Cricetulus griseus: one gene and its partners. The protein of the gene in region 3 interacts with the protein of the main gene of each other region in a pairwise test. Links are inferred from orthologs where the notes say so. Each region holds a gene or a part of one and is shown on either strand. Other genes may lie near its edges.

Evidence for each region.
Region 1: the proteins of calcium-binding and coiled-coil domain-containing protein 1 (region 3) and dual specificity protein phosphatase 13 interact in binary tests that used the Homo sapiens proteins (3 or more experiments, as listed by UniProt). The two-hybrid records come from large-scale screens. The link is inferred for Cricetulus griseus from reciprocal best matches to the Homo sapiens genes CALCOCO1 and DUSP13B.
Region 2: the proteins of calcium-binding and coiled-coil domain-containing protein 1 (region 3) and Cep19 interact in binary tests that used the Homo sapiens proteins (3 or more experiments, as listed by UniProt). The two-hybrid records come from large-scale screens. The link is inferred for Cricetulus griseus from reciprocal best matches to the Homo sapiens genes CALCOCO1 and CEP19.
Region 4: the proteins of calcium-binding and coiled-coil domain-containing protein 1 (region 3) and Cwf19l2 interact in binary tests that used the Homo sapiens proteins (3 or more experiments, as listed by UniProt). The two-hybrid records come from large-scale screens. The link is inferred for Cricetulus griseus from reciprocal best matches to the Homo sapiens genes CALCOCO1 and CWF19L2.

What each region holds. Positions count from the first base shown.
Region 1 is NW_023276807.1:199,240,412-199,244,061, reverse strand, and holds the end of dual specificity protein phosphatase 13, read right to left. Parts: intron 2,207-3,650; coding exon 1,986-2,206; intron 962-1,985; coding exon 759-961; 3' UTR 525-758; downstream 1-524. UniProt on the Homo sapiens protein: Dual specificity phosphatase that dephosphorylates MAPK8/JNK and MAPK14/p38, but not MAPK1/ERK2, in vitro. Exhibits intrinsic phosphatase activity towards both phospho-seryl/threonyl and -tyrosyl residues, with similar specific activities in vitro.
Region 2 is NC_048597.1:57,389,771-57,393,336, reverse strand, and holds part of Cep19 (centrosomal protein of 19 kDa), read left to right. Parts: intron 1-2,648; coding exon 2,649-3,010; 3' UTR 3,011-3,566. UniProt on the Homo sapiens protein: Required for ciliation. Recruits the RABL2B GTPase to the ciliary base to initiate ciliation.
Region 3 is NC_048595.1:399,089,812-399,092,857, forward strand, and holds part of calcium-binding and coiled-coil domain-containing protein 1, read right to left. Parts: intron 2,229-3,046; coding exon 2,073-2,228; intron 1,904-2,072; coding exon 1,649-1,903; intron 1,395-1,648; coding exon 1,269-1,394; intron 987-1,268; coding exon 891-986; intron 536-890; coding exon 427-535; intron 259-426; coding exon 59-258; intron 1-58. UniProt on the Homo sapiens protein: Functions as a coactivator for aryl hydrocarbon and nuclear receptors (NR). Recruited to promoters through its contact with the N-terminal basic helix-loop-helix-Per-Arnt-Sim (PAS) domain of transcription factors or coactivators, such as NCOA2.
Region 4 is NC_048597.1:118,076,298-118,080,633, reverse strand, and holds the start of Cwf19l2 (CWF19-like protein 2), read right to left. Parts: upstream 2,811-4,336; 5' UTR 2,788-2,810; coding exon 2,680-2,787; intron 1-2,679.

The DNA of each region.
Region 1 (3,650 bases), on a different chromosome or scaffold from region 3:
CTATTGCTGTGTGTAGGCATGCTGTGTTAAGATTGTGCATATGTGCGTGAACATGGAGGTCAGGGGACACCTTCATGGAATCCATTCTCTCTCTTTGCCTTTATAAGGTAGAAGATTGAACCCAGGTCACCAGGGCTTGTGCTACAAAATCTTTGACTTGATGAGCCATCTTGCTGGGCCCCACAAGTGAATTTTGATTATGGCCAGGAGAGGATCTGATACTTGGAACTTTTTTTTTTTTTCTTTTAACAGACAGCTTCAGCCTTGGGTGAGGGCATGAAAGGGGCAGGATGAGGGAGAAGTCACCTGGTCCTCAGCACCTCATCAAACCTTCTCTTGCACCCAGAACATTATCACTAACCAATCCCCACCTGCACTCTCTCCTCATTGGGTCTTGCCTTGTCCTCAGGCTCCCTCCTTCTCCAGGCTGCTGAGTCAGAGCTGGCAAACCATCCTGAGGCTTGTGGCCTTCGTGACAATAAAGCCATTGTCTCACAAACATCTTTATTATGATGAACCTTTTATTATAGAGACAGACTGAATTTTCTTCTGCATAAAGAATTTCTGTATTGGGTCAGGGAACTCCACCTGCTGAAGGGTGCTACCCAGCTTGCCCTGCCTCTGCCTCAGTGGAGCGCTGACTTGCTGGAAAAATCTCAGGGTCTCTGGAAACAGCAGAGACTGCCATCCCCAGGGCCAGGCAGGTCAGGTTGGGCCACGCTGGATGGAGGGGGTCAGGGCTTCAGGCGCTCCCTAAATCAGAGTCGCCCTGATTCCCGCCTCAGCCTGTTGTCCAGAACCTGGAGTTGTCGGAGAAAGCCTGAGTTGGGGCAGATATCTCGGTGGGCCTGCACCGTCTGGATGGCTTCTACCAGTGTCATGTTCTCGCAGATCATGAGGAAGGCCAGGACAACTGTGGCAGAGCGGCTTACCCCCATTGCGCAGTGAACCAGCACTCGGCCTGTAGGAAAACCCAAACTACCATTGGCCACCTGCACCCTCCTCACCTTTGAGAAGAAGGGACGGCTCTGGCCATCCCTTCTGTCCACCTGTCTCGACACCCTGGAAAACTAACACTGTCCTTATTGTCAGATGGGGCAATGGAGGCTCAAGGTCACACAGCAATTTAGTAGAGGTGAACAGCTAGGCACCTAGTCCAGAGGGGCTTCCTCTGATAGCCCATTGCAAGTCCAGGAGAGGGTCATCAAACTTCTGGAGTTCCTTGGATTTACATCACAGGGAATACCCTCTCCCTTTCCCCTCAGTCCTGCTCTCTCCTGCCCATGAAGCCTTGAACCTACCTATGTTTCCTCTCTGTGCTTTGCTAGATTTCTGCCTAGTGACTGGACACTTTCTAAAGGATATGGTTATACTAATAACCATAATGGATAGTGTGTGTGTGTGTGTGTGTGTGTGCGTGCGTGCGTGCGTGCGTGCGTGCGTGTGTGTGTGTGTGTGTGTGTGTGTGTGTGTGTGTGTCTTCTTTGATGTGGTGGTACACATGAGTATTCAGGTGTTTATCCAAATGTGTACACATACATATGAAGGCCAGAAATCAACTCTGGAGGTTGCTCCTCAGGCATTGTCTGCCTTTGTATTTTGAGACAGGGTCCCTCACTGCCTAGGCTGCCCTGTCAGTGAACCTCAGATATCCTCCTATTTTCATCCACCTAATGCTGGGAGAACAAGCACACATTACCATGCCTGCCTTTTTCATGCAGGTTCCAGATCTTCATTCTGCACAGCCAGCACTGTACCAACTGAGCCATCTCTCCAGCCCCCTTGCTGACTCTTAGTTATATCTGGAATTGTTGATTTCCACGACATACTCACTAAGTGGTAATAGCTACCCGCTCCTTACAGTGGGAGGGCTGCTGATGGGGTTGGTGGCATGGGCTCCCTACCCATCAGTGCTACTGTAGAAATGGATAGCACCAAATCCCACCCTGTCCCCACCCTGCCCAGTCCCTTCCCCAGCAGCTCACTTTGGGGAGTATTGAGGGCATCTCTGATGTATCGAGCAACAGGCAGAAAGTAAACACTGAGGTCAAAGAAGGGATTATCATCAGCCTCAATGCCATAGTACTCCACAGAAGTTCCACGGTAAAACTTGGCACCTGTGTCCACTTGAAACTTGCCTGCAGCAACATTCACAACATGGGTGATGCCCAGTTGGATCAATCGACTCTTGTCTCGGGCAGCATACCTAAAGGAAAGGCACATGGGAAGTTGGGAGGGGGTGGAGGTGGGTCTCATAGGGTCAGAACTTAACCTCACCCCTCTGTTCTCTTCCAAGGGTAGAGACTGAACAGCGAACTTACTTCCCTAGCAAAGGCAATCCTCAGCTGGGCGTTGGTGGTGCATACCTTTAATCCCTGCACTTGGGAGGCAGAGGCAGATGGATCTCTCTGAGTTTGAGGCCAACCTGGTCTACAGAGAGAGTTCCAGAACAGCCAGAGCTATACACAGAGAAATCCTGTCTCAAAAAACAAAAACAATCTTATCTTCCAAATATCACTAAATTCAACTTATATAATGTCTGTTGGCACATTTGAATTCTTCCTTTTAGGATGATCCTAAACGTGTTTACACAAAAGTATACACATATTTCTAAGGTTTTCGATTCATGTAGCTAGGCATCTTTCCAGGATGAAGGATCTAGAGCAGTGTTTCTCAGCCTGCGGCGGGGGGGGGGGGGGGGCGGCAAAGCTACTTTGGGGGTCAAACACCCTTGTGCATATAAGATAAACTGCATATCAGATAGTTACATTATGATTAGAAAAGGCATCAGAATTACAGCTATGAAGTAGCAACAAAATAATTTTATGGTGAACACCAATTACAGCTATGAAGTAGCAATGAAATAATTTTATGGTGAACACCATGACTTGAGGAACTGTATTAAAAGTTCAAAGCATTAGGAAGGTTGAGAACCTTTTTAAGTTTTGCACTGTCCTGCTGTGTTGTACTCAAGGCTGTCATAGCTAGCAGTAGTTGTCAACTTTACAGATCTATGTAGAGGAAGCCTCAGTTGAGGAATTGCCACCATGACTGGCCTATGGACAGGTCTCTGGGGCATGTGTTAGCTGCTAACTGATGTAGGAGGCTGCAGCCCACAATGGGTGGTGCCATCCCTAGCAGGTGGGCCTGGCTGTATAAGAAAGGTAGTTTAGCAAACCAGAGGGAACAAGTCAGTAGGTAGCATTCCTCCACAGTTTCTGCTTCAAGCTCCTGCCTTAGCTGCTATTGATGGTCAACTGTAGCTGCAATCCAGATATACTCTTTCCTCCCTAAGCTGGTTTTGGTCAATGTTTTATCATAGTAACAGCAAGCTAGAACAAGGACAAGCATTCTGGCCAGTGTATTCACATTGCATGCTACAGTAACCATTAATTGTTTATTAGCTGTCTCAGTTATAAGATTGACTGTCAGGGTACCACAGGCCTGTGTTCAATTAGTCCTTAGTTAACATAGTAATTACTTGTTTTTTTTCTGTTAGACTGAATAAACTTTTATTTAGCATGCGTTAACATTTACATGAAATTCAAGTTACATGTGATACAGTCTTTTTACACAGTAGTTCAAACAGACTTGTTGTCTATATTTCTACTACCAAAAGTTTAAAAAAAATTAATTACTGTTTTGTTATT
Region 2 (3,566 bases), on a different chromosome or scaffold from region 3:
GCCATCTCCAGCCCTTGCTTCCTGTCTTCAATATCCTTACATCACTTAATAAAAATAGCCTGACATAATCAGGTGGCATATACCTATAATCCAAGCACTTAAGGAGGCTGACGTGGGAAAATTGCAAATTTAAGCCTGGATAACTTCAGATAACCAGTCTCAAAAAAAAAAAAAAAAAAAAAGTAAAGAAAAGAAAAGAAAAAAAGATTGGTTGTGAAGGGAATATAGATCAGTGGTAGAGTACCTAACATGTGCAGGGTCCTGGAAGCAGTCCCCACTGAGAGGAAAAAGAAGAGGAGGGAGGAGGGAGGGAGGAGGAGGAGGGAGGGAGGGAGGGAGGGAGGGAGGGAGGGAGGGGAGTATTTAGTTTCATGCAATAGAATGAACACTTCTTCAGAAATAAACTTAGGTTTAAATCATGACTTAATTGGGGCCTAGATTGTTATCTTGGTGAAATCACTTATTGATGATTGATGTGGGAGGGCCCAGCCCACTGTGGGTGCTTCAACCCCTGGGCTGGTGGTCCTGGGTGGAATAAGAAAGCAGGTTGAGCAAGCCAGGGGGAGCAAGCCAGTAAGCAGCACTCTTCCATGGCCTGTGCACCAGCTGCTGTCCCCAGGTTCCTGCCCTGTTTGAGCTCCTGTCCTGACTTCCTTCAGTCATGGACTATGACATGGAAGTTTAAGCCAAATAAGCCCTTTCGTCCCCAACTAGCTTTTGGTCATGGTGTTTTATCACAGCAATAGAAGCCCTAACTAAGAATTTCTATACTTTTTAACAGTTAAAGAATTGGCAATTTAGCCGGGCAGTGGTGGCGCATGCCTTTAATCCCAACACTTGGGAAACAGAGGCAGGCGGATCTCTGTGAGTTCGAGGCCAGCCTGGTCTACAAGAGCTAGTTCCAGGACAGCCTCCAAAGCCACAGAAAAACCCTGTCTTGAAAAACCAAATAAATAAAAATAAAGAAATTGGCAATTTAATCTGTATGCCTTTAATTCCAGCTTTTGGGAGGCAGAGGTGGGTGGATCTCTGTGAGTTTGAGGCCAGACCTGGTCTACAGAGTAATCTTCTAGGCCAGCAAAGGCTACATAGTGAGACTCAGTCTCTAAAATAAATAAAAATTATGGCATTTTTCATCATTAGACAGTTTCTTCAGTTGAAAGTTTTTAGCATCCCACAAAGTAATTTTTGGTTAAGAAAGTAAAAAAGAAAAGAAAAAAGTCTACATGTCTGCCTTGACACCAAAGCTAGGTTTGTTTGTTTGTTTGTTTGTTTGTTTGTTTATTTAAAATTTTTATTTGGGGGGTTAGAGAGATGGTTCAGCAATTAAAAGCACCTGCTGCTCTTGCAGAGGAGCTGGGTTCAGTTCCCAGCACCTGCCTGGTGGCTCACAGCCATCTTCTAACTCCAGTTCCAGCTCACTGTCGTTCTCTTGTGGTCTCTGCTGGCACTGCACACACATGGTGCACATACATACACTCATACAAATAAAATTAAAGGCATGGGATTAAAAGCATGTGACACCACCAACCAGCTATCTTGGTTTTGTTTTGTTTTGTTTTGAGGCAGGATCTCTGTCTGCCACCTTGGCTGTCATGAATTCATGAATATCCCTAATGCCGGGATAAGAAGCAATTATAAACATGCACCTCCATACCCAGCCTGATGTGGATTTTGTTTATATGGCAGAATCTAGTTAAGTAGTTCAGGCTAACCTCAAACGTTCTATCTTCCATTTCTTCCAAATGCTAGGATTACAGGTATGTGTGTGTTGTGTGACAAACTTTTCCTAGGGAGACACAACATATTTTTGTGTATTTATTTCAGATAGGGAGCCCATGGCAGACCAAAGTGTGGATACCATTAAAGTTCAATTTGGTGAACCACTCAGCTTTAGTGGGGTTACTTACCGGAATATGGGTGAGGGGTTACTTATGGGGGAAGAAATGACTTAAAGACAGCTGCATCACCAAAATCCACCCCAGCATGGGTGACAGCTCACAAAAGCTGGAAACCTGGAGCTCACTGCACAGCCCACATGTAGCCTAACAAGTGGCAGAGTGTCCTTTTTAGTTGAGTCAGTTGGTCTGAGCCTCTTGTGCAGCTCCACTGGTTTTTTTGTTGCTGTTGTTATTTTGTTTTGTTTTGTTTTTGCTTCTTTTGGTCTGTTTGGCGGCTCTCAGGAGTCTTTTGTGTGGCTTGGCTCCTCTGGGAGAGGCTCTCAAAGTCTTTATTGTTTATTCTAGAGAAGGAAGGGGCCAAGTGAGTCTGCTCAGCTTTAGGGACTTCCTGGAGTTGTTCTGAACTGTTTACTTTTTGTCTGAAGGAGCTTCCCTATAGGATAGAATGTTTGTTTTGTTTTTTAAATGTTATTTATTTATTTATTTTACATCCCAACCACAGTCTCCCCACTCTCTTCTCTTCCCTTTCCCTCCCCCTACCAGGTTGGTATGTTTTAATCTCAGAAAAATAAATAAATGAATTGCTAGAAGTATAGTTCTAAAGAGTAATAATTGATTTTAATAAACCCCTTTAGCCACTTGGCTACCTTGGAGCTAGTGATCTCAGGTTTTGGTCTATTTCCAGCCTCATAGTAGTTTGTGACGGGTGTGATATGTGTGCTGTATATACACTTTTTTCCCTCCTAGATTGCACCAGAGCTGCTGAACAATTAAAGAATAACCCACGGCACAAGAATTACCTAGAACTGGTGTCCCTGAAGCAGCTGGAGAAGCTGTTTGTTTTTTTACGAGGTTACTTGCAGGGGCAGAGCTTGGCAGAAACGAAGGAACAAATTCAACGGGAAACGACCATTGACCCCGAGGAAGACCTGAACAAACTAGATGACAAGGAGCTCGCCAAAAGGAAGAGCATCATGGATGAACTTTTTGAGAAAAATCAGAAGAGAAAGGATGACCCCAGTTTTGTGTATGACGTTGAAGTTGAGTTCCCTCAGGATGAACAGCTGCTGTCCTGCAGCTGGGACACCGAGTCAGCCGATGAGTTCTGAGACCTGCTGATCCATGTCTCCACAAAGAACAAGGACTGGCCCTAGAAAATCTGTAAACACGAAGGTACATATAAAACCAAGAGACTCATGTGTGCTGCGTAGGCCTGTGAGGAACAACAGCAACAACAAACAGTATAGGAATGCCATTTAAGGAGTTGGCAATCTAAAAGGAAAGTAACTCAAAAACTTGTAAAAAGATATTTGAATAATATTACTCAGAAACGAGATTAGAATCAGATTTTCAATGAAGGCTGACATAGCAAGGAAGGTTTTCCCTCAGCAGAAAGGGACCTGAGCATGGCCCTGGAATGCTACAGGTGGTTTTGTAGATGAAGCAAAGGGGGAGGGTGTAGTAAAGAGACAGGACATGAAAATTTGGAGAAAGAGTGAATAATTATAGTTTGGCAAGATTGAGATTAACCTGTGTTCATTATGTCTCTATGGGTATTTAACTCTCGGGTAGACAAAAACACCTGCAAAGTGCTTCACAGCTACAAGTGCATGCAGACTGAGAGACAAAGGCAATTGTGTCCCTCCACGCTCAGGAAATGTTACT
Region 3 (3,046 bases):
GCTCATGTGTGACCCTACTGCCTGCTTACAGCTGTGCATGTGGGCTCTCACTACTCACTGAGTCAGAGCTGCTGTCCTCCCCTGGCCCGGAGAGGTGGGAAGCAATGGGTGCTGGTTGGTTGATGACAACAAGGGAAGATGCCTCCCGGAGCCCAGGAGGAGAAGAGCCTGTGTTTCCATGCTCACACAAGCCATAGGATGGGAGCCTCATGTCCTCTGGGGACTCATCTTCAGAGTCCGTCAGAGCTGCAGGGCAGCCTATGGGAGGGCATTCAGATAGAGAAGAAAGGTCAGCCATAGGAATCTAAGGAGGGAGACGGTTCAACTGCAGAGGGCCCCAGGAATGGGAAGGGAAGGCTAGGCTGCTTCAATAGCTTTCCTCAAAGAGGGGGAAGGGAAAGAGGTGTCACAAGATTGGGGACAGACTCAGTCCTGCAGTGGCCTCCTCATCCTCTGTGGCAGCATCTTCATTCCACTTCTCATCTGCTACCTTCTCTAATCGGGCCTCCAGCTTCCTCATGTACTCCAGCAATTCCTGGAGTTGGGGAAGAAAAAGGCAGGTGTCAAAGCCTGTAAGAGGACAACCCTGCTGGCCTCCTGGGCTTTCCTTGCTCCCAGACATCATTGTAGATGCTTTCGCCATGGGGTGGAGTCACACATGGCAGATCCCTTTAATTGAGAGCTCTCCTCTACCCTGCACCTTGATCCCTTCTGGTGTTCCTCCCCTGTACAAAGTTAGTTCCTAAGAGGAGTCAGAGCCATTTTTCAGCTTTTGCATTCTCAAAGAGATTCCAGTTTCTGAGCCAAGGGATTACCAAGATGGTACAGAAGTTTGAGTCTCCAAGCCCTTGGCTTTGGCATCCAGGGCCTGAACTACAGGTGAGTCTCACCTGTTTCTCCGCCTGCAGCTGCTCCTTTTCCTTCTGAAGCACACGGAGGGCCGAGCGCAACTCTGTCAGCTCTCGTTTACTCTCTGACAACTGTACCTGAGGGGAAAGGGTCATGGATCCTGCAGCTTGCAGTGTGCCACCAAGAAACTGGCCCAAAAGTAAACTAGGTTCTCTCTTGCTCCACACACAAAGTGCTTCTTCCACAAGGCCCTTGTCTTGGCCCCCGGGGCTCAGGTCAAGTCCTAGACTCTCTCTCTCCAATATGGCCCCAGGTAACTGTCTTAGGCTGGATGAAGAGGCTTTGGTAATACCAGAAGCCACCCCATAACTCCCCTATGTTATACCTCCAGCCCAGATGTGACTCTGTGAGCACCTCACCAGGCTAGAGTCCTTTTCTCGGGCCAGCTCAGTCTTGAATATGTGGCTCTGGCTTCTCTCCTCCTGTACTGTCTTCTCCAGCCGAAGGATCTCTGCACTCAGCTTCAGGATTTTGTCCTTCTCGGCCTAGAGATGGTACAAAGAAAGATGGGAGGGAGGAGGTGAAGTGGCAAGGGATGCCAGGGAAATAGCATTGTACTCACTGGGACCCTTTCTTGTATGTCTGGGGCCTAAACGGTTTCTGAGCAACCCTGTACGCTCCTTGCTCCATTGAGTACCTCTCCTCAAGTCCTCCTAGGATCACGTCCCCTATTCCCTCCTCCCAGAGCACCTCACTACAGGTTAGAGTCTCTGAGGTAGGGGGAAGGGTCACCCTCTACCTCCATATTCTGCAGCAGCCCTGTACGCTCCTTGCTCCATTGGCACTTTTCCTCCTTCATGTGCAGGCTGAGCTCAGCCAGTCGGCCACTGACTTCAGCCACTTCCAGCCTGCTGCGGTGTAGCTCGGCTATGGTGCGGTCCCTGGCTCCTGCTGCACTGGCCAATTCCTCCCCAAGAAGGGCAGCTTTCTGTTGGCTTGAGGCTGCAAGTTCCTGGACTCCTCGAAGCTGCTCTTTCAGGGGCTCCAGCTCAGCCTCCGGAGAAAAAGGACAGAAATCAGATCCCTTAGGCAACTACTTGTGAATTAGGGGGCCCACTCATCAGGACCCAGGACTGTGTTGTTTACTTTAGCCATCTTTGTCTCTTTCTCTAGACTACTTTGGTACTCTCACTGCTCTCTATCATCTACATGACTTCACTCACCACTTTCTGCTGTGCCTGGGCCAGGGCATCCTTCATGTGTGCCACCTTGTCCTTCAGTTGCTGAACCTGAGCACCTTGCTCTTCTTGCTGGCCCTTGACCTCCTGCAGCTCTATAGTTAAGCGACGGTTCTCCTCTTGGATCATCTGGAGCTCAACCTGACGAAAGTGGAAAGAAGGTAGGGAGCAGGGGATGAGTGCTGGTGTACCAGGGGCAGGTTGCCTTCCTGGCCCTGGGATGAGAGAAGGCAAGGTCTGTTTCTGAGATTCAATACAAGCGGAAGCATTCAGCTCTTGCCAGCTCTTCTTGGGTCCTCAGCTCAAAGGCTCTCAATCTTGAACCTCTAGTATCCAGGTCCCAAATGAAGTGTCCAGAGCATCACAGCTTGGGGTCTTACATGGAGACATCCCACAACCCACTTTGATTTCCTACTTTTCCTTTGAATCACAACAGTCTGAATGGCCTCTAAAGCTAGGAATATTGCACCTCTCACCACAGACCTTTTCCTTTTCCTCCTCTCCCTTCCTGGAGTCTCTGTCTCTAGTCCCTCTCCCTGCACTATGGTCATACTATGTAGCTGGTCCAAATTGGCCTTGAATGCACAATCCTCTGCCTGCTTATGTTAACTGCATGCTGAGATTACAGATGCATGCTACTATGCCTAGCCTTTCCTGGGACCTCTGTCACTTCTGTCTGCTGTACTGAGCAATTCTCAATTCATCTAATTGGACACTTGAGTGCTATGCTTGGTTCTCTTCTCTCCCTAGCAGTTCACAGAAGAAAGCAACAGCTTTTCCACTCTCCATCATAGCCACAGCCATCTTCTACTGTCTATTATGCCTTTACCACATTAGCTCAGGCGTGGCTGTTCCCATGGGATGACTGGATAGTGCTGTAACTAGTTATTTTCTAGCAGGTGATCAGTGCTTCTCAGTACAACTCTTTAGGCATTTTTCACCACTTAAAGAAAAAAAAG
Region 4 (4,336 bases), on a different chromosome or scaffold from region 3:
CAATATCTGTACCCCAATATTTTGTCTCAGAAAAAAAAAAAATCTTCTTAAAAAGATAGGATCATCTTCACCAAAGAAACTAGGAAACATGAAGGACTCTAAGGGATAAATGGACCCCAGGAATGGGAAGTGGCATGAACTCCTGAGCTAATTGGGAGCACAAGGGTAGGGGAGAGGGAACTGCCACAATAAGATCAAGAGAAGAGGAGTAGAGGAGAGGAAATAGAGGAGCAGAAATATTGAGTCAGGGGAAGAATAGAGGAGAAAGAGCAGAATGAGAGATGCCATATTAGAGGGAGCCACTATAGGTCTGAGAAGAGATCTGGAACTAGGGAGATCTCCAGAGACCTACAAGGATGACATGATCTGACAATCCAGGCAATGGTGGAGAGGACAACCTAAAAACCCTTCCCCTAAAATGAGATTGATGACTACTCTTTATGCCATCCTAGAGCCCTCATCCAGTGGCTGATGGAAACAGAGACAGACATCCACAGATACACACTGAGCTGAAATCTGGAATTTAGTTGGAGAGAGGGAGGAATGAAGAACAAAGGGGTCTGTACCAGGTTGGAGAAACCCACAGAAACAGTTGGCCTGAACAAGGGGGAGCACATCGACCCCAGATGCTAACTGGGAGGCCAGTACAAGAGTGATCCAGATCCCTGAACATAGATGTCAATAAGGAGGCCTCTGCACTCCAGGGAGCCTCTGGTAGTGGATTAGTATTTTTCCCTGGTGTAAGAAGGGACTTTGAGAGCCCATCCCACATGAAGGGTTACACTCTGGCCCTGGACACATTGGGAAGGGCCCAGGCCCAGCACAAGAAGATTTGGTGGACTTTGCAGAGCCCCCGTTGAGGGCTACCCTGCCTGGGGAGTGGTGGGTGGATGGGGTGGGGGGTAGGTTGAGGTGGGGGAGGAGGGATGGGGGTGAGGGGAGGGAGAGGGAGAAGGGACTTACATGTGAAACAAGCTTGTTCCCTAACTTGAACTAAGGAAAAAAAAAAAAAAGATAGGATCATACTGCTAGTTTCTAGTCAACAGTCAACAAACGCCAAACAATGCAAGGTTTTTTCTGCTTTCTCATCTACCTCTCAAACATCAAAGCTGAGTTTGGTCCTATATGCAGATCCCTATAAAATTCATTACAGTTTATAAAGAGTTTCCTCCCAAAACTTCTGGAAATACCAGTCAGACAATAATGAAGAATATTATTATATCTACTTTGAGATCAATGAAAAATCACAATGGTTTATTTGTCCGAGACCAGGTACTCACTCCCATAAAAATATGACGATCATTACTCATTCTTCCTATCTTTTCTATTCTTTATATACATTTAAACTTATTAAAACTTCTTCCCCTTAAGCCCCCCACCAAATTGTTACCAAACACTGTTGTTCTTCAACTACAAATTTGCCCTTTGTGCAGTCACAGTTTGGAAAAACTTATCAGATAATTCAATATTTACTTTTTCCATTTTTTATAAATTCCATATATTTCAATATTAATGAGAATTCTGTTTACCAAACTTTTGGGGGAGACACACATTCTGAGTCTCTTATGTTAAACAGTGTTTCAATCAGTCTGTCTGGTGTTGTGTCTCACTGTCATGAAAAACCGTAATAAACCATTTTAAATGCCCAGTGAAAGACAGACAGACAGTGGAGGAATGCCCACTGTACTCAAATGTTTCCCACTTCCAATAGGCCGAAGAAATGACTCGGTCTGCAAGACAACTGGTGTCTTCAAATGTGGTACAGTACATAGAAACTGAGCAATCCACACTCAAAGCACAAGGACATTTGCTCAGTAATGTTCATGGCAGCATTACTTGTAATAGCCAGGACTTGGAGTCAACCTGGATGCCCCTCAATCGAAGAATGGACAAGGAAAATGTGGTACATTTAGACATTGGAGTACTACTCAGTGATTAAACCAAAAAAAGAAAGAAAGAAAGAAAGAAAGAAAGAAAGAAAGAAAGAAAGGACATCTTGAAATTCGAAGGCAAATGGATGGAACCAGAAAAAAAAAAAAAATCCTGAGTGAGGTAACCCAGACCCAGAAAGACAAATATGTACTCACTCATGATTGGATATTAGACTTAAAGCAAAGGACAACCAGCCTACAGGCCACAACCCCTGAGAACCTAGAGGACCCTAGGAAAAGGAACTAGACAAGATCTCCTAAGTAAATAGGAAGAGTAGGGGCAGGAGGGAGAGTGGAAGGGGAGGGGAGAGGGAAGGAGAGTGGGGGATGTATTGCTCAATGTTTTTTAAACTGGGCAAAAAAAAAGAAAAAGAAACCTAGCGATCCAGGCGGCAGAAATGTCAAGAATAGATGACTAAAAGCTAAGGAACCCAATCACATCTCTCTGCAAAGGGAATGAGCAAAGCGAGCGGGCAGAGAATTTAGGAGACACTGCTTTGGGAAAACAGCTGACAGCCTGACATGGAGAAATACCGACGTGAGGAGAGGAGTAGGTGGACTACCTCCCGGAAGTGTCAAGTCCTGCAATTCTAAGTAACTTTCCGAGATCTGTCTAAGAGAAAAAACGACAGCATTTCAGGAACGAAAGACGGATTCTCTGGGAGAGTGCTGGCCTGAAGTGCAGGAAGCGCTCAGTGTGAGCCCTGGTCTTAAAAGGAGGAAAGAAAACACTCCAAAGCGGAGATACCTGGCGTAACACTTCGGCCCTGGCAATGCGGGTCCGTTCTTTTCGCTCTTCGATACTCCTAGCACTTTCAAATCTTCCACCCAACGCCGCCATAGTTGTAGCTGTCATAAAGCGAGGAAGCCGTCCGGAAACCTCAGTTTACGACTGTCGCAAAGCAGGAACCAAATCCTGGCCTGTTACTATGCCAACGGAGCAGGCGCAGATTGAAAGGCGGCAGAGCTAAAGGTTTGGTGGAACGTTGGAAGTCCGCCCCGCGGCGGGCGTTTTAGGTGTGCGGGGTTCGCTGAGTTAATAATCAGCATGCGCAATGATGTACCTTGCACTGTGCTAGCTCCTGTCTTATCAAGACTCTTACTATCCAGATATCTGCGTTCTTGCCTGATTTCCTGTGATGGTGCACCAGGCTAAAGGGACGCTAATCAGAAAGTCAGGAGAACGTGGGGGGAAAGGGAAAAAAAAAATTGCTCTAAGATTCACTATTTTTTTTTTGTTGGTGGGTGTTTTTAAATATATTGGAAACGGAGTTGGAGAGATGGGTGAGTGGTTTGCTCTTGCAAAGGACCTAAGTTCAGATCCAAAAGCCTTGTGGAGGTTCACAACCATCTGTAGCTCTATTTCCAGGGGACCCACCGCCCTCTTCTGGCTTCCACAGGCACTTCACCTCCTTGGTGTACTTAGATAAAGGCAAACAAAACACTCACACACACATTCACACACCCTGTAGAGGTTGAGAGTGTTGCACAAGCCTGAGTGCAGGAAGAGTTCTCATCATTGGGTGTGAGATGCATTGAGTGTAAGATTCTCTCTCATGAAGAAAGCTGGGTGTTGGTGGCACAGGCCTTTAATGCCAACACGGGAGGCCGAGGCAGGCGGATCTCTGTGAGTTCAAGGCCAGCCTGGGCTATAGAGCTAGTTCCAAGACAGCCTCCAAAGCCACAGAGAAACCCTGTCTCTAACCCCCTCCCCCAAAATAAAAAAGCAGGGACCTTATGTTTACTGCATCTTGCTTAAATAAGTCTCTGTATCAAAATACTAGTTCTTATCTGTGCTACATATGATTCGTTCACAAGGATGGTAATAGGAAAATTGAGATAAGCCATTTCTCTTTCTTTTTACCTCTGGCAACTCAGCAGAATTTAAAATGCCAAACTTCAACGGTTACACCCCTATGCCCCCCACCAAGTGCTATTGTTGATTTGATTCATTACATTTAGAAGGCTGCAACCTGCACAGATGTACCCACTGAGAGTAACCAGCCAATACAGAGCTGATTGGAAGGGCTGCTGCACCTGCTCACCTAATACCAAAGGCACCCATAGGAGCACACCATGAAATATACTGCAGCTGGTCTGCTGGTTTTCAGTAACCTGGCTTCTCTGTTAGTCAGAACTGCTGTGAAAGTTCATTTTGCTGTTAAGAAGCAATACTCACGAGCCTTTGTATTGCAGAAGAAATGAAAATGTCAGGAAACTAAAAACTAGATTTTGATAATTTCCCTCCTGACCTTCCCTGTTCCATATCCCAGCATGATGACCAGGCTGATATTGTTACAACTAAGGTAGAGCTGCCTGTATCTCCATTCATCCCACAGGGTTTGCCCTGCTCCAACTGCATACAAAGAGACACATATTAGGCCTTGAGATGTCCTTATTGAGAC